3 linked regions of the Lonchura striata genome follow. The protein of the gene in region 3 interacts with the protein of the main gene of each other region in a pairwise test. Links are inferred from orthologs where the notes say so. Each region holds a gene or a part of one and is shown on either strand. Other genes may lie near its edges.

Region 1 (7,030 bases), on a different chromosome or scaffold from region 3:
ATACTACTTTGCAAGTCTCTCTCTACCCAGGAGAGCTGACAGCAGGAAGAAAGCAGCATATACTTGAGATACAGGCAAGCTACTCCTATAGTATGTAGCATACACATGAATTGCACCTTGGTTTTCTTTCCTTCCAAGGATAAAGTTTGGCTAAGGATTTCACAAGCGTAAAATGGTTCAACAAGTCCCACAGTCTAATGAACTTGGATTTTTTCAGACAGCAAACAAAACCTGCCAGGTGGTTTCCCCATGCAGTATGTGAACCAGAAATCTAGCACTGTTCTGTTGCCAAATGGAAGGATTTTTCCTCAGTAGCATGGATCACCAGTATGGTAATGAACTTTCAATCTGACCCAAGCTCTGCCACTGGGGAAAGAGACCACTGGACAACCTTGGACTGCCCATCTGGTCAGGTTCTCTCTCTTGTCCTCTCCTTGAAGTCTGAAGATCTACATAGCCTGCCTTGGCAGATGGTATCTGAACACCATTAGGCTTCCACTCTGCATGTACAATTTTGTAATTCTGACCCTCATTATTGTCCCAGAAGGTATGTTCTCCACTTTGGTAAGAAATACAAAACTCTATCTTCTCTTCAGAGGAAATGGCAGGAGGAAAATCAATGGTAAATGAGAAGGTATCATTTTCAAAATCACTGTAAACATTGTTCATGTACACACACTCAACATCTTTGTAGGTCTTCCACGTATCAAAAGTAATACGAACCTGAACCTTTTTTTCAAAGCTCATATTTTTTACTTTCACAGTGCCTGACAGGACCTTCTCTTGCAGGGTGCAGGTCTCCAGGCAGACCAGGTTCGTCTGCAGACGGTTCCTAAAGTCCAGGTAGTCAGTTGAGGGCTGAGGGAAACCCAGAATTAAGGTTTTCTCCTCATGGAGTTTTAAGTCAGATGTTATGTCCTCAATGCCTAAGAGGTCAAAAGGCAGATCCCACACAGGGGGCTCCTGGAACTCGGAGAAGGTGTGGATCACTGTCAGGGACAGCCCCTTGGAGTCTGCAAACACAACGCGCTTCTTGGCTCGGGCTGGCGAGTGGTTCCAGTCGCTCTTCCGATCTTCAGAGTCGCATTTCACATGAAGGCACGGCCTGAGAGGTTTGAGTCTGCTCACAAAGCTGTTTCTCTGGCAGTCCTCGAGGGGGCCGAGAAAGCTTTTCAGCGGCGGAGAATGGGCTATGCAAATTCGCATGGCCATATCCACAGGCATGCTGGAGCTGGGCAAGGGTCTCGGGTCCAAGACCTGTAACATTCTGAATGGAGAAGAAACACCGGATGTCATCATTTATCACATCAGATAAGAAGCTTCTCAAGAATGTGTATTTACTTCATCCATTATCTTAATTACTCACGGCTTCATCTCTGCACAGTTTTAAACAATGCAGGCTAAAATAAAAATTGACAATTCTGCCTAAGGAACCACACTGAAACTAGTCAGTCATTTCTTACCAACCCTAAATTTCTTCAATTCAAATCTACTCTCCTTTCTTTATCCAAAACTCTGAAAAACAGATTTTAGTGAAAGCTAGTTGAACATATTTTCTTAAAGATACAGAAAAGAGCATTCTAGTAGTGAGTAAAACGAATCCAGTTAAAGTAGAAGTGCTCATCCACTTCCCTCTTAGAGGCCCTGAGTGAGGTCTTAAAATTCCAACAAGCTGGATCAGCTGCTTCATCTCTGAGCACAGACAGCACTATATTAAGCAAGTTGCCTATCCCATCAGAGCATCAGATGGGATTCTATATCCCATCAGAGCATCAGATGGGATTCTATATATCTTTATGCAGAACCATCATTCTGTGGCTCTGAACAACTGTCAGTTGATCTTTTTAGGCAATTGTTTAGTTGAATAAAAATACTAAAGCACCTTTATAAGTATTTTTATGAGCTGTGAACCCAGGTCTAAGTCATAGGGCTCTTTGCACTGGTAATGTCAACTGCTGAGTGAAGCAGGGGGAAAAAGTGGGAGAAGAGAAGGGCATGCTATTTTTTTCACCTCATTAGGCTTCAAAAATTGACTTTAAAACAACTTTTTATAATCCCTAAAGACCATACTGAAAGTCTACTGCAAGGATTCAATAAGAATGCTACAGGTTTTTTTGTAAAGAGTTACTAATAACCCTCCCTCTCAATGACGGATATCAAAATTACTGTGCAAGGCCATGGCCCATGCAATGCCAGATAGCTTGAATATTTCTAAAAAGGGGCTTCAACCATGGCACATCCCTGCTGAAATGGATGCAGTCTTTGCAGGAAACACAGAGCTTTGTTGAATCATGGAAAGGCATTTGCTTTGTCACTTAAATAAATGGCTTTCTGCTTCCCAGAGTTCTCACTGGTATTCCAGAGCCCTGCCAAAAATAAAGCAGGAGCTCCAGTGGCCTCTTTTTGCCTTTTTTTTTTTTTTTTTTAATTTGCGGAGTATTTACCATAATAAGCAGTAGGAGGAGAGTACCCGAATCAAATTAATCAACTTTTGCCTTGCTTTGCTTTATTAGGAATAGAACTAAGGCTTCAGAAATACTCTCTCTGCAACTTTGGTGACCCGAGCTTTTGCAGTGTCAGGGGAAAAAAATAAAAAAAAATAAAAAAAAATAAAAAAAAAAAAAATAAAAAAGGAGAAAAGCCCACGCAACACCGAAATAGCGAACAAGCGCCCAGCATGCAAACCCCACCCCACCCCCGGAGCAGCTGCGGGCTGCTGGAGGGGGCGCCGGGCGCTGCCGGCGGGGGCAGCGGCGGGGACGGCAGCGGCGGGGGCAGCGGCCGGCGGGGGCAGCGGAACGCGGCGGGACCCGGGCGGGCGGCGGGACCCGCGGAGCGCGGCGGGACCCGCGGAGCGCGGCGGGACCCGGGCGGGCGGCGGGACCCGGGCGGGCGGCGGGACCCGCGGAGCGCGGCGGGACCCGGGCGGGCGGCGGGACCCGGGCGGGCGGCGGGACCCGGGCGGGCAGCGGGGCCGGGCGGCGCTTACCTGGTGCGCTGCAGTGCTGGGGCCGCCGCTCCCGGGCCGCGCCCGCCGCGCCGCCGCCTTTATGGGGCCGGGCCGCGGCCCGCGGCCAAGGGGCGGCCCCGGGGCCGGGCGGGGGGCCGCTCCCGCCGGGGCCGCCGCGTGCCCCGGGGCTGCCGGGCGGACGCAGCCCCGGTGCCCCCGCCCGGAGCGGGCCCCGCTCCCGCGTGCTCCGGGAAGGGCGGCAGCAGCTGCGGGCACCGGGGTGCGACGGGGACTCGCTCGGGCACGCGGCCGTGCCGGCAGCCAGCGAGCGAGCGGCGTTCTCTGCCAGGGCTTTTCGCGTGCCCGTGTGCGGCTGCTTCGGGAACTTGCCCAGCTGAACAAAACCTGTGTTAAATTATAGACTTCTCTGCTTCGTTGGAAAGAAGCCGGGACACTAAGTTGTAAGGTAATGTTCCCAGGGCCAGAAATCCATCATCCTGGAGTCTAACTGCATTTGTCCTCAGTGAAAAAGTACTTTTGAACTTTTAATGTAAATGGTGCAGACAGCTTTTCACCTCGCACACCTGGTGATCTGTGCACTGCCTGAGGATGACAGGCCCTGCTATAGGCCCCACATTTTATCTACTGCCTTTTTCCAGAGGAAAGGGACAGAAGGTGGTGGAAGGCAGCCCCCGCAGCGTTAGCGTTAGCCACAGCAGGCTGAGTAATCCTACTAGAGGTCTGTTGCTGAGTTACTGCTCTTCAAAGACCATGTCCTGGATGCTAACTTTTTCTCCGGGTCTTCTGCAGATGAACAGTTCCACTGCCATCTTCTTGCTGCTCAGCTGCTCTTTCCCAAGGGTGGGAGATAGCTTGCAGGCAACGTAACAAGATGTGATAGGGAGTCTATGAACTGTGATTTTCTGAGTTCACAGTTTTTACCAGTAAATGAGACAACATACAAGTGAACAGCAGGAAGTCCTATGTTCTACATGAAGCAAAGGGGGCTTACAGTGATGAGCAAACAGTAAAGGATTTTTCTGTTCTTGATCTGTGAGCAAAAGAAATTAAAAGCTCTACTGCTTATGCGTGAGAATTTATTAGAAGATAGGGTGTGAGCATACCAGATGATGACAAGGACACTTTCACCTTGGATTCAAGCTACATACAAGCAGAGGGCACAAACAGAAAAGGTTAGAGCCTTCTGATGACAGATGCATGGCACATAGATCAGTATCTGCCTCTGTACATGTAATGAGAGTATTCACCAGCCAGTAACACTGCAGTTTCTTAGTTCTGCCCTTTGGTGACTGAAGTTCCTGCCTTTTGTGACAGTATATGACAGTAAGTGTCACCCAGACAAAGCCTGAAGCATTAACTGGCAGTGCAGACAGGGCTATGGAAGGTCCTGTTCTGTTCCCTGGAGCCAGTTACTCAGGACAGCCTTCCCTGGTCCTCCACTTCTCAAGCTGCATCCCTGCTACTGACATTGCTCTTCCTCTCCTTTCCCTTCTTTTATCTTTTGGTGACTGCTGGCTCCCTATCGAAGGCAGATGATATTTTCTCATTCTTTGTCTACAGAAAGTGATAGAAAACAGCATCTGTGTTTTGGAAGCCTTGCTAATAGCCTTACTAGTTGCAAGTTTATTTTTCTTTTGGAGGAGCTACAAAGACTTTCAGCCTCAACCCCCCCACCTGGAGTAAACTAGGTCAAACATACCCATGGGTATAAGGAAAGACTGGACACATGGCTGGCACTTACCAAATCTCTTCTATTTACTCATAAAAAAATCAGTAAATAACTCTGGCGTTTGTTTGCCTGTACTACTTGGATCTCTGTCCACACACACTCCTTAGCTGGGTTGCTGTGTTAGCAGAGATCACGTGCAGCAGAGCTGGGGCTGCTCTATCACACTATCTGCAGACACTAAATAAGAGCTGCTTGAGGCCTGTAAAAAAGGAGTTGCCTCAAGGCTTTCCTGCACATATTTCTGTTGCTATATAGTAGCTCGTTGCACTGTTGGTGCTATAAAATATTTTGCTTCTGCTGTGTAAAATACCTGTTTTGCCTAACTTGGAAAACATCTTGAAAGACTGTTTAAAGTGATATGATTAGGAAAAAAAATGGTAGTGAGATCCAGACCTTTCACAGGCACATCATTGCCCAAGTCAGTAAATACAGACTGGATACGGGAACTTTGTGCCTAATTGGTACTCTGGAGCACATTCATGGCCGTGGTCTGGTGTCCCAGTTCCTGGTTGCCAATACAAGCAGAGAGTGTTGTGCAGAGCAAGGGTAACTCTTTCCTCATCTAGGGAGGCATCCCTGCATTGAGGCAAACTGACAGGGTTATGTGAGTTAACACACCAGTCTGTCCTGTCAGTGATGGTTCCCTAGCTGTGCTTTTTATAGAGGACTCAGGTTTCCAGATACTTTGGTTTGGCATCTTAAAATGTAGATCTGTCTGTCTGTCTTACCTTTCAAATCGTGCTGCTAAAATAGGAGCACCAGAGGAAAAAAAATCTCCTGTCTTACTGGGCATTTGACAGCACTTTGTGGCATATCAGCTTTTCTGACATTGGTAGGTGCACAGTGGCAGAAATATGTAAGTGGAAAAAGCACGGCTGATTATAAAATCAAGCCCCATCATAGGGGGTTGTACCTCCAACTGCTTCTGTAAGAAGGAAACCCAAGTCGATCACCCAGACTAGTTCTCTGTCATTTCCTGAAAAAGTGGCACATTAGACCTAGTAAGTTAATTGCAACGTGTTAGCTATAGAAAACACAGATTTATTATAGCTACCATAGTTTCGCTAAATCTTAAATGTACGTTTTTAAAGCAGTTTGCAGCCTAGATGGTCCAGATGCAGTGGAAGGCACAGGCTCGCTTGCAAGGAGTTCATTGAGGTTGCTCAGTGACAAACTGGCAACTGGGCTCACGCTGCTCTGTTCAAAGACAAATATATGGTATTAGCTCCACAGCAAATGCTTTTATATGCAGATGGTCCTCCAGATCTTGCCATTCTTCACCTCAGCTGAACTAACCACAACCTTTCAATCAGCAGTTCTGGGAACAGATAATGAGTGATTGTGCCTTCCTGTCAGCTATCACACTGCAATGGGCTGCTCTGGTCATCTCTTTGCTGGCTCTTATCATTTTATGAGAATGAAAAAACTGCTTTTTTTTCAGCCTCTGTTCTGGGACCGAGTAATTAAGCAAGGAATTTGTGTTTACTATGACTATATTACTTTCAGGTCGCTGTGCTTCTTTGCTATCCTCCCCCACAACTTCAGGAAGGAAGAAAGGAAAAACATCGCAGTGGAGGATATAGAAGGAGTAGAGGAGCTATTATCATTTAATTAAAGGTTTTTGAAGCTTTTGAAGATAGGCAAATATTTCCTCAGAGCAAAGTAAAGTCATGACCACATTTATAGGTAAAAAAGTCCAGAGAGAAGAACATACGTCCATTTCACTTGCATAGTAAAGCATCTCTTGAGAAATCCTTACTGTTTGCTGGGTGGGAGAGCAGTGCTAGCTTAGTGCAGTTACAGTATGCAATTGAGCAGGAAAGCCTTTTGATTTGGTTTTGGGCTTGAAACTAAAACCAATTGCTAGGCCAGCAGCACTATACTGGTGTCATTAGAAAACAAAATATGTCCACCTTATTTTGGCTGGCTCGTTCCTGCAGCATCACACAACACCTGTGAAAGAGACAGAGCTTTAATGGCTTTAAAGAACATCTGTGGTAATAGACAGGGTCAATTCTGTAACACAAGGTAAACAGCAGCCATTTTTTTTCCTTGTCTTGAGCTCTTCTGTTCAATGTTTGTTCTCCGCTATAAAACTAATCTTTGTAAATGTGTATTATCTATGAAGTTGGGCTGCAGTTTTCTATGAATGTGACTGTAAGGCAAATAGTGATTTTTCAGATACACAGCAAGTCTGTAAGCATTTAAAATTTATAATTACTTTTAATGGTTTATCTAATGAAAAACTCTGTAAGCAGAGTTTTATTAAGTCCTAATAGAAGGCTATATTATTTATTTGCTTCTCAGAGCCCTTTGGTGAACTTTGAAAA
Region 2 (7,464 bases), on a different chromosome or scaffold from region 3:
TGGCCTGATATTCAAGCATAGTCCTAAAACACAGCTCTTCTAATATGTCCATCCAGCCAGCTCTAAAAGTCTACGTAACACATATAAAGCTAAACTTTCCATGCAGTAATGATTATGTATGGGAACAATTATGGACAAGCCTTTACTTCATAAATTTAAGCCTGTTGCAAATCTTAAAACACACTAAAACCACAGAACGAAAATAATAAAGCAAGAAGCACGGGAAGATGGTCCTGTGTTCCTGTGCTCTCCCTGCAGCAGAAGGGATTCTGTTTATCAGTCTGTGTAATTAAGTGCTTTCAAGTTCCTGCTTGTGTTGCAAGGTTGCAGTCTTAGGAGGTCAACTGTTTTGCAATGGCAAGCAGTTAAATAAAGAAGTCAAAGCTACTTCTGCAGTAGTTCTGGAACACTGGGACCAACTGTGATGCAGGGTTCTGGAATGCTATTCCAAACTTCTGTACCCTGCTCCCTCTACTATTTCTTTTCCTTACATATTTTTTTTATATCCTATCCATTTCTTGATCTATAATTTTACCAGCAACAGTGATAAAATCATGAGCATTCATCCAGTGCGTTGAGACCTTCAACTGCATTTACAACCACACGTCCAATATTGGTCTCATTTCCCTTACTAAAAGCAGGTGCACCAGAAAGACTATTCCTGTACCACCACCTTGAGAAAAACCTACTTGGGCATCACTTGACAAAGGTGAGAATTTCCCCAAGCAGTGCCTTACACACACTTTGGTAACAATCACTCTTGCTGCAAGGAGGAGATTGGAAAAGGCACCTTTTGTTTTCTTTCCCAAGGGAAGCAGAGGTGCTGATGGCACATTTTCATGTATGTTTTCCTCATAGTAGGATTAAATTTCCAGCTCAGATATTAATGGAAATATTTAACATGGTTACAGCCTTAATAACATATGTATATAAATACAAGTACTCCCCACAGTGTCTGTCATCCAAATTATGCATAAATGGAATAGTGCCCTGACTTGGTGAAGTAATATAAACAAAATTAGAAACAAAACAAGTGAAGCCACACTGTCCACATAAGAAAACAAACAGTAGAAAATGGTAAGAGAGATCAGTTAGAAACATTCTATGCAACCAAGAGTATCACTAGCAACAAGAAATGTTTTGCTCTCTGGTAGCCTCACAGCATTCCTGGGAACCATTCTGCAATGACTCATGCACTCAAAAAACCCACATGGCTTTTCTATGATGGTATCTCACTACAGATTCTGGCCCTTTTAACTTTCCCAGAGGTTTAGTGCAGTTTGTACAGGCCACTGGCTGCCTCCCAGCCCTGGGACACCTGGCCAGGTTTCAAAAAGAAGACTGTTGCCACAGGAGCAGAGCGCCATGGCAAGGGACAGAGTGCCAGTGGGACCACAGGCACGCTGCTCAGCGCCACTGCCTCTGTTCAGATGAAGTGGATCCAGCTCTCCTCACACTCCCTTGGCAGCTTCAGGGGGTGAATCCGGCAGCAGAGGGTGTAGTTCTTGCCTCTGTTGTTATCCCAGTACTCCTGGCCGTTGACTTGGTACCTTGCTGCAAACTGGACGAGAGTGCTCAGCTGAAGGAGGAAAGGAGGCACAGGAAGAAAGAAAGTGAACACATCAACCTGATCCTGCCTGTTTTTGTCTGGGATGCTGCAATTCCAACGAGCACACACCTCGTGGATGCTTTCCCACTGGTTGAAGGTGTAGCGCACGGACACCTGCTTCTCAAAAGCAACATTCTGAACATGGATGGTGCCACTGAGACCCAGATATGAGCTGGTCACCCGTTCCAGACACACCTGCTGCTCCTGGAGTCGGGATGAGAAATCCGGACAATCTGCAGGCTGCTGGAAGTCAGGGACCAAGCATTGCATAGTAAACTCCAAGTTCAAGCTGCTGTACCAGAGGTCTGAGTTTATGGAGAGCCTGGAAAGGACATGCAAAGGGATGGATGGATCCTCCTCAGTTTGGAAGACTTTTACTTCAGTGAGCTCCAAGCCCAGAGCATCAGCAAATCTGACCCGGTTCATGCGGCCCCGGCAGCCGGCCTGACACTGCACTGCTTCTCTCTTCCTCCTCTCGAGTGATGTCGGCAGGGACCTCGCTCGGCGACACATGATGGGCCGCAGGGCTGGGTCACAGCTGGAGTAGGTGCTGCTCGCATGATTATTTGGCTGGACGCTCTCCTTGGCTGGGGCACTGCTCCAAAATGTCTTGCTGCTACCTGTATGGACTGCTGGGGGCTGCTGCTGCCTTCGTGCCACTGTTCCTTCAGCCCTTAACATGTTCTCATAGAGATCTGAGAGGTAGCTGGGATTCCTCTGAGGACCACGCACTTCCATTCTTAACTGGTGACAGAAAATCAGCATTAACACTGCAGGTAACAATGAACACTGACCCTCTGAAGCACTTGATTTGGGAACGGCAGCCACAGTAAGGTCTGAGGTTACTGCACTGGATGCAGCAAGGATCACCTGGAGCAATGTCACCTTCGAAGGAAAGGCAGAAGCGTGGCAGCTCGCACGGCAGCTGGCAGAGCTGTAAGGCGCTGTGTGGGAAGCTGAAGGCAGACTCACTGCCCGATGAACTCGAGATCGCTGTGCTGGCTGGTGGCACCCAGGCTCAGGCTGGAAAGCGATTCAAGGCTATCACCGCTGATACTGGAGGAGCTCACACCCAGGCTGGGGAGCGACTGGAGGCTGTCGTGCTGGATGAAGGACTCCAGGCTGTCGGAGAAGTCGCTGGAAGCGCTGTGCGCGCCCAAGCACCGTGCGCCGGAGCCCCGGGCGAGAGGGGCCTGCAGGCTGTCCTCGCTGGCTGCGGCCGAGCCCGCGCCCCGGCGGCAGCAGCAGCACGAGCAGGGGGGACACTCCAGGCTGTCACACTGGATGCTGGGCGAGTCGAGGCCGGGGAAGCCTTGGAGGCTGTCGGGCGGGAGGGAGCCGGGGCTGCTGCAGAGGCTGGAAGGCGGGCTCGGGCTGTCGGCCGCGGCGCCGGGCTCGGTGTCGTGGCTGGCGGGGGCCGGATCCGCGCTCGGGGCCGCCACAGCGCCCATGGGCGGCGCGGCCCCGCGGCAGCCCGAGCGCAGCCGCGGCCCCGGGGCCCGGCCGACACCGCGGCCGCTCCGCTCCGCGCCCGCGGCGCAAGCGCGGGGCCCTGCCCCAGCCCCGCCCGGCACGGCCCCCGCGCTCGGCGCTCGGGCGGTGCTACGGCTGCTGCGGGCCGCGGAGCCGGAGCACGGGCAGGTACCGGGCCGGGGCGAGGATCGCCGGGGAATGCGGGGCGGCCCCCGAGCGAAGGAGCGGCCCTTGGGAGCGCGGTGACAGCGGCGGGAGGGAGCGGAGAGGGCCCGGCCCGGCTCGGCGGGCGCTGCGGGCACTGCTGCCATCGCTGCGGGCACAGTGTGGCACTGCTGCCATCCACCGCGGGCACTGCCTGCCGTAGCCGAGGATACAGCCTGCCACCATCCCGGGCGCTGCCCTGCCCCGTCCGGCTGCGGGACTGCGGCGCTCCGGGGCTCCGGGGCTCGGCTCCGCTGACAGGATGCGGGGAGGCGTTTGAGGGATAGGACGGGATCAAGTGTAATGTGACTGTAAATGTATAAACAGCACTGCAGTAGAAGTAAAGGTGGGTCAGGAGAGCTGTTTGTCACCTCTCACATTTACAGTCCATTGTGGACCCTTGGAACCGTGCGGTTCCCTGGTACGGGAATGCATTTCCTCTGGAATAAAAGCAAGCAATGGATCCTGCTCTGAGTATTTTTAGTAGGAGCTGATGAGACACTTGTTTTGGAAAAGGAAAAAAAAAAATTAAGTCTTGGATGCAAGATTTGCATGTATGCATATGGGAAGAGCGCATTTTGCGACACAAAAAGGACAGCTGAGCCCGCAGGGGGGTGATGATCTGCTCTCCATAAACTGGGAGCAGGAACACCCGCCCCGCTGGGCTGTGACGCCCAGCCCCGGGCAGCGCCGGGATGTGCGCAGGCCGAGCCGGGGATGGGGATGAGCGCCTGACCCTGCACGGCAGCTCTGCGAGCACACGGTACCCTCAGGTATTTCCTTAATTGGGAATAGTAAATTGAAGATGCTGCTTCCCTCTAAGCGAGTGCTGGGGGAGGGGACTGTTTTCCAGTGCAGTTTGGTAGCTGATTATGTTTATCTTCCTGCTTTAAAAATAGAATCACATCGGGAGGATTTTGTTTGTCACCAGCATCTCCAGGACGTGGCGATGTCTGCATTGGATATATCGTGTCTTGCAAAGCCAAAAGACTGGAGCCGTTTGAAGATTATGTAACAGTAGAAGTGCAGATTCCCTTAGGAAAGAGGAATAATGGGACCAGGCATTCAGGAATATCCCTTATTACTGCACAGAGAGACACAGCAGAAGGAAAGCCACAACCACACCAATGAAAACTACAAAGGAATGGTAAAGTAAGGAAATTAATTTCGCTTTTTATAGTTACTGGAGTGTCAACACGCTGGGCTTAGTTAATAAGTGCCTGGTTGTCTTGTTCCCACTGCCTTCCTCTCCCCTGATCCCAGCGACAGAAATGATTGTGCAGGATGATCGTGCAGGTCACAAGGTCACAGAGGTGACTGCAGCAATGCTAGAGGCACAGGACTTAGCTTCATTCTTTTATAAGCTTTTGAATTTGTAAAGTCATGTGTTGTTAAAATCAAAATCTGACTATACTGACACAGAAACTGAGAACAAGATGTACAGGCTGGCAAATAAACTGAACTGCAGTAATGCTAGATTAGACAGGAAGGCACAGTTTGAATATTCCTGTTCTGAAATAGTATTTTAAAGCTTTCAATTTGGAAATCAGTAATATTTTTTTTCTGTAGAGAAAACACTGTTCTTATTCTGCAGAATATGCTGATTTATTTATTCTGTGTGCTTACACAGAAATGTAGCTGGTTTAATTAAGTTTTAGTTCTAAGCTGCCCAGATCAGCAGTGCCATTCCTCTTGCTTTCATATGAGCTTTTTCTCATAATAATATTTTCACAACCCTCTTATATTGTGAAATAGGGATTTTTTTATGCCTTCATTGTGAAATAGTTTGTATTAATACCAGAAGAGACCTTATGCTCCCTGTTCACTTCCACTCCTTATCTTCAAAGGAATAATCCTTTAAGTTTTGTTGAGAATATGCAAATGGGAAAGACAAGCAAGATTTGGCTTCATATGTGACCTTCATATTGTACTTTATAATTAATTTTGGTAAATTGCAATTGGAGCACCTACCAGGTGCTATAAAAATCAGTAGTTAAATATCTGTAATATTTATTATGTCCGAAGAAGCTTTAGGATCCTCTGACAGAGGATTCTATATAAGGGCTACATTCTATTATTATATCATCTGATAGAATTATTCACTTTTGTATTAATGATATTAAAAATACAGCAGTGCATTTGTAGTATAAAAAGTAAAAAGTGGCCATAGTGGCATAGTCCTAATGAACTTTAAGAATGACTACAATCAGCACTTTTTTCAACTCAGTTGTACTCCTTAAGTTTTTATTGTACTTCCATTCTGACACTCATATATTCTGCTATTTATATCTGATATTTTGTTTAATCCTTTGTGGTTACAGTAATGGAAAAAGCCATCCAAACACCAAAGGACTATATAAACCAATTTCTTATGTGAAATCTCCTCCTGGAAGATTAGGCAAAAATGTATCAAGTGCCATTGAAAAGGTAAATAATCCCCTTTCCTAACATACAAAGGGTAACTACTATAAGTCAGCTTCTTAATAACATCTCAAACTTTCATATCCCTCCAGATTTCCCATGACACTCAAGATGGTTACCAACCAAATGTTTATAAGAAGGGAAGGAACCAGCTGGATGGCAATAATCAGTCAAAAAGGTAATTTTATGAAAGATTATCTGCTTAATTTGTAGTAATTTCAAACTGGTTGACAAAATGCTTGTGATGAAACTGCAGCAGCTGTGTTTTGCTTTTGACTTCACGGGCTCAGAGTTCAGCATTTATGAGAACAACAAATTTTAAGTTATCAAAGTGGAAACTTGCTATACTGCTTTAGTGAGTTCTCAGGCAACAACAGATCAGTAGTAGGCAGTCTTACCTCTACCAGCAGTTATTGATTTTGCCTCATTACCAAGTTTCCATGCCAGTTTTAGCTTCAGTCATAGAGATCTCCATCCTTGAAGGGGTGGCAAGACCTTTGTAAGCTGCTGTTCAAAGGCACTGACCATTCTAACAGTACATTAACTTCCTTTTCCTTTAGGATCCCGAGTGTTTGCAGCTCACTGCACAGTGCACAAGGACCAAAGAGGAGTCCTCCAGAAAGAAGGCAAAACGAATCCCTCCTACACAGGAGTCCCCCAGAAAGAAGGCAAAATCAATCCTTCCTGCACAGGAGTCCCCCAGAAAGAAGGCAAAACGAATCCTTACTGCACAGGATCCCTGCTGGCACAAAGGGCAGCACACAAGAAAACTTCTGTAGGGCTAAGGATGTCTCAGTGCAGCATTTTTATTGCAGTAAAAAAGAACAGTTGGGGAGGAATCACGAAGAATACATGGCTGAAGCCAGTCCAGGCTCTTCAAAATGGCAAGAAGCATCTGTAAGTCAAATGTTTCTTGATTTTGAGTCGGTACAAATTATTAAAGAAGATGCTGAAGATGATAGTGCCAGTGACCTCTCTGACTCAGAAAGGATTCCCATTCCCCCCTCTCCCTGCACTCCACCAGAACTCATCCTCAGAGCTGAAGAAATCGACCCAGTTTGTTTGGAGCACATCCCCGAAATGGGATTTAAAGAATCTGAATATTACTACCCCGACTTCCTCCCACCCCCTTTCAATTCTTGGGACTTGAAGCAGCTGGCCACCTTTGTCCACGTGGAAGGGAAAAGCGATTTCCGCCCCAGGCCCACGGGATCCCTGGAGAAGTTCATGGAGCGCCTGCTGCAGCTGGAGTGGCTGCAGCTGCAGACGGTGCAGAGCGAGAGGGGCAGGGCCACCAAAGCCCGGCCCCAGACTGCCCCCGGCCCCAGCCGTGCCCTCAAGAGCCCCGGGAAAGGCAAAGCCTTGCTCAGCCCTGTGCCCAGCAGGCAGGCCGTGCCCCAGGACAGTGTGACCAGGCTGCCCAGGAGCTCTTTGGGTCACAGGGCAGAGCTGTGCCCTGAGCAGGCTCGCCAGGTGCGTTCCCACACAGGTCACCTGAAAGTTCCTGAGAGGATGGGGTGTGCAGCCTCTTCTCAGAGGCAAACTGGTGATGGAAGGAGTGAACTGAAAAAGAAACCAGCTGCAAAGCAGCAGCTTCTCAGTCTGCAGCCCCCCGAGAGCAGCTCTAAAATCCAAAGTGTTGGTAACATCAGACCCCCTAAGCAAACCCCAGCGTTCAATGGTGCAGCTGCTCCCATCAAAGGCTTAAAAACATACGTGTGTACAAATCCAAAGAAAAATGGCAATGCCAGCAGCTA
Region 3 (7,606 bases):
AGGTGCACTTGGGGGAGAAAAAGGTACATACATGAATTTAGCTTTTTTTCTAATTCCCAGATTCTAAAGCTCAGCATAACCAACCTGTTTCGACAGCATATACAAAGAGACAGCATATCACAAACCCTCCTGGATAGCAGGCTTCAGCTTTCACAGTAGGTAAGCAAGTACCAATCCTGAAGAAACCCCACACAGCTCATGTGACCTGAGCCAGAAACACTCAATGGCTTTAAGTGACAGGTCCTGTGTGCAGACCAGCAACATCTCCCTGGGACAGCAGAAGCAAGTATCTTCAGGAGCACAGGGGAGTCTCACCTCCCACTTTGTCCTCCTAGGGAGGGGAACTTGTTCCCTCAAGGCACATGCAACAACCCAGTGAATCTTGCACAGGCCAAGCCTTGCCTGAAAGCTTCCTACCAAAAGCCATAGAACACTGGCCTGTGACTTTGACTCTTCTAGCCCACATAAATAACTACCTCCACTTTTATCTTTCAGTCTTCCCCACTGTATTGGAATGGCTGAAATTTGTACTCAAAACAGATGATACATAGGTATCGTACTATCACAAAAACAATATGCACTGCCAGTGGAATTCTCACACACGTATGTGTCTTAGTAAAAAAGATGAAGTAATTTTCTTAAATACAGCACATGATTTCAACATCCAATATATGTAAACATCTGACACCCCTAATCAGACTGACATCCATGGACTACAGTTTCTCTGGTTACAGATGGATGCCTCAACTCATAAACTTAGAGCAAGTATCATTCTGCACTTTCCTCTATCCCTCACAAACATGTCTTCAAAACTGCAGATGTTCTGCAAGAGCTAAGTGTTTCCCAAAGCCCATTTTAATTCTAAACACACAGGATACTAAAGAGACAATGCACAGCATTTGTTCAGCACAAAAAAACACCTGTTCTTTTTTTAAGAAGAGAGTTGTCTTTTCAAGCTCTGGGTTTTACAAGAATAAACAGATGACAGACAAATTTTCATTGATCACAGTTAAAAAACCCCAAAAACCAAAAAACACTAAAACAGATTAAAAAGAATGGCAAGATTGCTCAGTTATTGGATAAGAAAATTTCCCTAGGCTTCCTTCATGCAATAAAGCAAGAAAAATAAATTTCAAGGTTTAAGCAAATTTGTACTTTCATGTAAATATCAATTGAGGAAAAAACTGTTGATATTAATGACTAATTAAAAAATTATTCTGCATTTAGACGATGTGCCCACTTGCTTTCTATCGTTCCTGGTAACCACTGAGCTCAAACTCCTGAGCATTCACAATGACAAGAACAAAATGCCAGCCAGGTTAATCCTAAAACTGCAAATCTGCCAAATCAAAGTATGTTTATTACTCTGACTACATTTCCTAAACGTGCTCCCTGAATAGACAACAATTTGAGCTACCACTACTTCCAAACCAGAACATAACCATCAACCTTCAAATTGATGATTCTCTCTAATTATTCACTATTATTTCTATGAAATTCTAATTATTTCTATTTCTACTATTATTTCTAAAATCTGTGTGGTGAGGACTGCTTTATATACCAGTATCACTGTCATATTATGTACAACTTGGCACCTTCAAAGGGACCCAATTCTGCTTCCTTGGACAGATGTAAAGATTTTTATTCCATAAATTCACTTTTCCTGCAATTCTGGAAAAGAAAACATGGTTAAAACAGGCAGAATATACTATTTGTTTTAGCTGCTAAACAAAACAATTACTATTGTATGAGGGACATAGTCCTTTATGATGTAAACTTCTGTGAATGTAGCATTTACATGAAGTCTTTTATTAGCATGAAGAACAAACAAATGCAACAGTTATGACAACATGCATGTTTTAGTCTACATGACAGAAAGGCAGTTCAGAAATGTGGTATGTATTCTTAAAATGGGTGAAGAGCAACTGCTCTACAATGTGTTATTTTGGTACATGGATTATTATGCTATGAGTTAAAAAAATACCCTCACAAATTACCAAGTGATCTATCTTCCTTTCACTAGGTCAGACCATTCCTCAGTTACAGGAGGTATATTTAGAGTTTTATTTGACTCAGGAAACGACTGTCTCAGTGTTCCCTTGGATTTAAGATACTTCAGTATACTAAACAGCATATGGAAACTGACCAGTTATTCAATATTTGAAAACACACAGAAAGAGGAAAACACGGTGGAAGTACTACTGAAACAGCAAGAAGACTGGAAAAGCTGTAACTAAACTTCTCCCTGTGCTTTTCTTTAAGAAATCAAAATAGCAAAATTTACCAGCCTGAAAATGCCATAATGACACATCACCTTAGCGAAATGAAATAACTACACCATAGTGAATACTAGGAGATCCTAAATTCTTCACTTCTGAGGAAGAAACAAAACTTCATGACAATGGATGCCTAAAGCAAGGGGGTGGGGGGAATGAAACTGTTTCAAGTAACTTTTACCAACCTATAAAGACAGCCTCCTGTATTTACCCGCCTCCATCACACAGCCAAAAAACACTTGTGTTTGCGAGCACCCACGTCACGAGAGCCGCGACAGCCTGGGCGGCTCTACGTGCACCGGCGGCTCCGGGGACAGGGAGCGGCGGGAGCGGGCGGACGGCGCCGCAGCGGTGCTCAGAGCCGCACCGCCCCTCCCGGCGGGGCCGGGCACGGCCAGGGGGTCCCTCCGTTACCTTCCCAGAGGAAGTGGCCGCCCTCCCGCCGCAGGAACTTGTACCAGAAGGGGCTGGCGGCGTCCTCGTCCGGCAGCGCCACCTCGGCCAGCCACAGCGCGGGCTCCTGGGCGGGCAGCGGGGCGCTCGGCCGCGCCCGCCTCATGGGCACGGCGCGCCGCGGGTCCCACTCGCCCAGCTCCGGCCGCGACCCGGCCACCAGCAGCTCCGCGCCGCCCTCCGTCACCCGGCCGGGCAGCACCACGCCGAAGCGGAACAGCATCGTACACAAAGAACGGCGCTTAACCGGGAGCTCTGCTATTGCACAGCCGCCGCTGGCAGGCCGCCCGGGCCCGCCCTTCCGCCGGGGCTGGGGGTCGGACACCGGCCCGGAGACCGCCCCTGGCCCGGACGCTGCCCCGGCCACCGGCCCTGCCCTTGCGGAGCCCGAGAGGTGCCTCCTTCGGCCGGGGCTGCTCCCGCTTGTTTCGGGCGCTCGGCTGCCGCACGCACGCTGCCGGGGATCTTCCCCTCCGAAGGGGAGTTGAGCAACACCGAGCCTCAATCGCCTCCTAAAGTGGGGATGGAAAATCCCCTCCGCAGCTAAACACTGGCTCTCCTGGTTGCCAAAGGCTACGCGTCACGTATGGTGACTGTAACAAGGATTATTGCTGCGTTAAAGGAAGCCATTGCAATTACTGCCAAGAACTCAGGCTTAATTTAGCGCAGCAAAGACATCATTGAAAATTGCCGTACTTGCAGCTACGAACAAGGACTGGCTGCAAATAACGCTGTAGTGTTCATGATGTTTATGTCTTTCCCGCTGACAGCCAGCCAGTCATGGTGAGAAAATAAATGTGAAGTGCTGAGGGAGGTTAGAAAGCTTTTAAAGAAATCTGGAGTTCGCTGCACGAGTTCTGTTTACGGCCAGAAGGGGAAAATTTGGCAACTCCTACGCGTAGCAATACTAAGGACTTAAAAAGACTGAGGAAGAGGATGCAATCCAGCCATTTAATGGGCGGTCCCTGCTTGAATACACCCATTTCAGAAGCTTTTAAGGACAGAAAAAGAGAAATGGTAACTTTATTTAGGTCAGGTTCTGGGAACAGGATGAAGGCCTTTCAATGAGTCAAAAGAAATCCTGCCTCAAGAGATGGCTGTTTGTTTCCTTTATGCAGGGGTGATGACACTGAAGTGTATGTGCTGCCAAATTTATTTTTAAGAGTGCTTTAGCCAATTTTCACTGATACTCATTGAACTTGTGTAAGTGATATTCTACCACTTTTCCAGACATAACCAAAACAAATGAAATTCTCACTGTCCTCCATTTCTGCTGGCTTTACTGTAGCACTGCTGCTTTTGTGGAACAGTGCAGCACATTTTAATTTTTTTTTCTCAACCTTACAGTTGAGCTACCCATACCCTGTCTCATAATTTCAAATATCTAACTCTTTACCATACACCCCCATTTTAGCAGCACGAGACAGAATGTAAGAATTCTGGGGTTTTATCCTAAAGATCAAGCATGACAGGAGTCCTAAAACCACCTCAGCATATTGTGTCTACACAAAACCATATGCTTCTGTTCATTCCAGTCACAGCTTAAAAACTGCAGGATTCAATAGGGCATCTGATTGACAGTTTAGTTCCTGGCTGTTGTCTAAGCCCCAGTGTAAAGAGAGACCAGCAACATCCATCTTTGGACAAGACTGAACTGCTTTGTGCCTGTAAATATTGAGTCCTCATCTTAGACCTGTAAGCCTTGTGGAACAATAAAAAATTGTTCTGTAGACTCTGATGTGCCAAGTAGTATCTTTAAAATTAATTTAGTCAATTTCTTCTCCGGGATCTGCCTTAATCCATTTTGTGCCACTCAATATTGTGTGTTAAAGATGACAGAAAGTGGCCAGCTTGATTTCCTGACGTTTCCTCAAAAGCCCTAGTGCAGATAAGGGTTAGGTTGAGAGATCAACAGGAAGGGCTGAAAAACTGGATCTACTGATGGATCCTGCAAGACTGAGATAAAAACTAGAAATGTAGATTGGTTTGGGACATCCCATGGCTGGGTATAGTGGGAACAGAAGAGCAGTTTATATTGGTGAAATTGCAGGCTGAATGGGGGCTGTAGACAGGATAAAATTTATTAGCATTAGATCTGAGACTGAGGAGCTAAAGGTACTGTGAAGTTTGTTTTTGCAAATGTATGTTTTTTCCCCTGTTAGATTTGCATGGTCTATGATTTGTCATCTTCTAAACTGGAATTTCAGCTGGAGTAAAGGCAGAGGAGGTAGGGAGGAGTTCCACTTACTGTTAGTATTTGGGATTGAAGGAGTTGATGAAGTACTTCCACAGTTGAGCCACTGCCATAACCCTAAATTTAGTTTCAAGTGTCACCCTAAGCCTCTTAAGGAATTAACAATAGTTTCCTTTGCCAAAATGACCTGTTATTCTAGTACTGCCTGGCCAGTGCTCTTCCCCTAGTTCTTAACACTATTCTGAAACCTAAAAGCTTTCATGATAATCCAGTCATCTTTTACAACCACAAATTAAACATGACTATTTCCTTTTTTTTTTTTTTTTCCACTATAGTAAGTCTTCCTTCCAACTTGGCAAGCCTTACAATTCCCATCAAAAAGCTTTGGCACAAAGGGGCAAAACCCCAATAGTTAAGCTGTTTTTAATTGTCACAAAAACTACTGTCACTCATTGATTCCTGTGGGAACAAGCTACCATCTTAGGGGTCTGTTTGCATTGCAATCATAAATGCTGTGCATTTGTGCCTCTCACAGCTGTTTAGGATCTCTCAATATACTTACAGCAGCCACTTGCTGAATGGAAGCCCCGACTGACCTCAAATCAAACAGTGAGCTAGCAACACAGTGAGGCTTAATGCCAAGTTTATTTAAAAGCCTTCAGTTTATTGTTTCTGCTACCATCCGAGGCATTTGCTAAAGTTGTTTCTAACTGGCAAAAAGGGAAGAATTATATGAAAAAAAAAGGACAGCCTATTTTTACACAGCATTAGTGTGCAAGAAGGGACTTGAGAGATCAGTTTCTGCAAGAATGACTTGCTTTGTGGAGTTCACCTAAATTGTACCAATACATAGTAGCCTTGTGTAATTTCTAGCTAATTAGCTGGCTTATTATCCAAAATTTGTGCAGGTAGTGGGGATCACACAGGAGGACTCACCGAGGCTGTGTACCAACTTAACATCAACCAACCATCAGTTATGCCTTCAGGTTTCTGCCTAACGGCTGTATCTGAAAGGATTCTACGGAGAAGGCTGAATGTCCAGAAATGTGACTTCATTTGCAGACATGTAAAACACATTTAAAGGCATTTTCACTTGCTGTGCACTAAACATTTGCAGAATCACAGTTCTAACATTCTGCAGAAGTCAAATTTCTTATGGTGTCTCTTTCAGAAATAAAATTGTCATGATATTTTTGTGAACCCAAGAGTTTTAAACCATTTGTTACATCCCAAAAAAATTGTGCAAAGTATTGCTGGCCGAAATTTTAGTGAAGACAGTAGTTGAGAAGTTTGACAGCATACTCCAGTTCAAAATTCAGCTTTCCAAGTGGAAAGTCATATTTTTCTTCACAGTTTTCTTATCTGCAAAGTGTCTACTAGGTATAGAGACAGCACACAGTTATCTGATCAATGTGAATACTACTAAAATGACAGCTGAAGTTAATAGTTCCATGCTGGGGTAGCCTGTGTCTGCAGTATAAGTGTTCTTCTTTTAGCAATTCCAAACTTTTGCCCCATAGCCCAGTTGCAGCTTGGAACAGCTTTATCTGTTATTGCTGTACAGTGATCTAAGATGGTATTTCCAAGTAGGGAAATCTGTAGTGAAGAGAGAGAGCTTGAATAACAGAAACAAAACACAAATACAGAAATATTTGGTTGGAGAAGGGAGGGAGTATTCCTGATTGCAAGTTGTGGGTGATGTTTAGATTAGCAGTGCTCCTTCCTAGACTTGCCTTTCTTCCCTTTTTAGGTCATTTTCTTTCTTGTAAAGATACAGAGAAAGTGTTATTGCAATTCCCAAATGTTTCTGCTAATTATAGAAAAGAGAAAAGCAGCACATGGCACACAGTCTTGCTTGTAAAAAGGCAAACATTTATATTATGTGATAAGCTGATTTAGATGTATTAATGATTTGGGTAAAATATTCATTGCTGAAAAATTTAGACAGCCTGTATTTCTTCAAAGAGATTGTGCTAAATATAAAAGAAACCTTATTCTAGTGCAAATAATTTAAGACCACTGGTTTAAGTAAAAGTTAAGTATTCTAAACTACTCAATCGACAGACCCAGACCTTCTAATTGAATTCTAACTGTCCTTCTCTTATCAATTCTGATAGAACTATGAACTAATGCTCTCACCAATATTTCTAATTTGACAATACAGCAGCTAATAAATACCTTTATAGACTGAAGACTGAAAGAAGACTAAGATTAAAGAACTTGTTAACAGATAAGCACTGCTATCCATAATTTTTAGTTTAGAGCTGTGTCAGAGCACTGATAACTGCATGATCCATTTTAGCTGCTTATTGCTAGGAGCAAACTTTTATGCAGACTTAACTACAGAAGTTCTGTCAGGAATGACCATTTCAGGAATTGTGTTGGAAAAATTTTCTGCAACAATAGATAGGACACTAAAGGAGATGGTTTCCACTTTTGCATGGGGGTTTGTGTAGCATATTTTTTAAACAGGTTGTTGTTTTTAGAAGTAACTTGGCAGTATAAATATGCAATAACATTACAGTAAACACTACAGAAATACATACAGGAATAACTGATCTGGTAGGTTTCTTTTTTCAACATCCAGTTAAGCTGTCTGCATCCTCCCCAGCCTCATATGCCTTGGGAGCTGGAAAAAGTTCCAACATATTTCAGCATGAGGCCCTTTTAGGATGTCCTAGCA

What was found.
Region 1: the proteins of EPM2A (region 3) and PPP1R3C interact in binary tests that used the Homo sapiens proteins (3 or more experiments, as listed by UniProt). The link is inferred for Lonchura striata from reciprocal best matches to the Homo sapiens genes EPM2A and PPP1R3C.
Region 2: the proteins of EPM2A (region 3) and PPP1R3D interact in a two-hybrid assay, tested with the Homo sapiens proteins (2 studies listed by BioGRID, with this or other methods). The link is inferred for Lonchura striata from reciprocal best matches to the Homo sapiens genes EPM2A and PPP1R3D.

Annotation. Positions count from the first base shown.
Region 1 is NC_134609.1:16,471,246-16,478,275, forward strand, and holds PPP1R3C (protein phosphatase 1 regulatory subunit 3C), read right to left. Parts: upstream 3,064-7,030; 5' UTR 2,990-3,063; intron 1,268-2,989; 5' UTR 1,267-1,267; coding exon 322-1,266; 3' UTR 215-321; downstream 1-214.
Region 2 is NC_134619.1:4,031,466-4,038,929, forward strand, and holds the start of PPP1R3D (protein phosphatase 1 regulatory subunit 3D), read right to left. Parts: upstream 3,036-7,464; 5' UTR 2,375-3,035; coding exon 1,427-2,374; 3' UTR 1-1,426. Other genes in the region: protein FAM217B, read left to right, coding at 4,338-4,438, 5,608-5,713, 5,800-5,885, 6,268-7,464. UniProt on the Homo sapiens protein: Seems to act as a glycogen-targeting subunit for PP1. PP1 is essential for cell division, and participates in the regulation of glycogen metabolism, muscle contractility and protein synthesis.
Region 3 is NC_134605.1:49,438,618-49,446,223, reverse strand, and holds the start of EPM2A (laforin), read right to left. Parts: upstream 3,014-7,606; 5' UTR 2,953-3,013; coding exon 2,691-2,952; intron 2,608-2,690; exon of another isoform or gene 2,462-2,607; intron 1-2,461. UniProt on the Homo sapiens protein: Plays an important role in preventing glycogen hyperphosphorylation and the formation of insoluble aggregates, via its activity as glycogen phosphatase, and by promoting the ubiquitination of proteins involved in glycogen metabolism via its interaction with the E3 ubiquitin ligase NHLRC1/malin.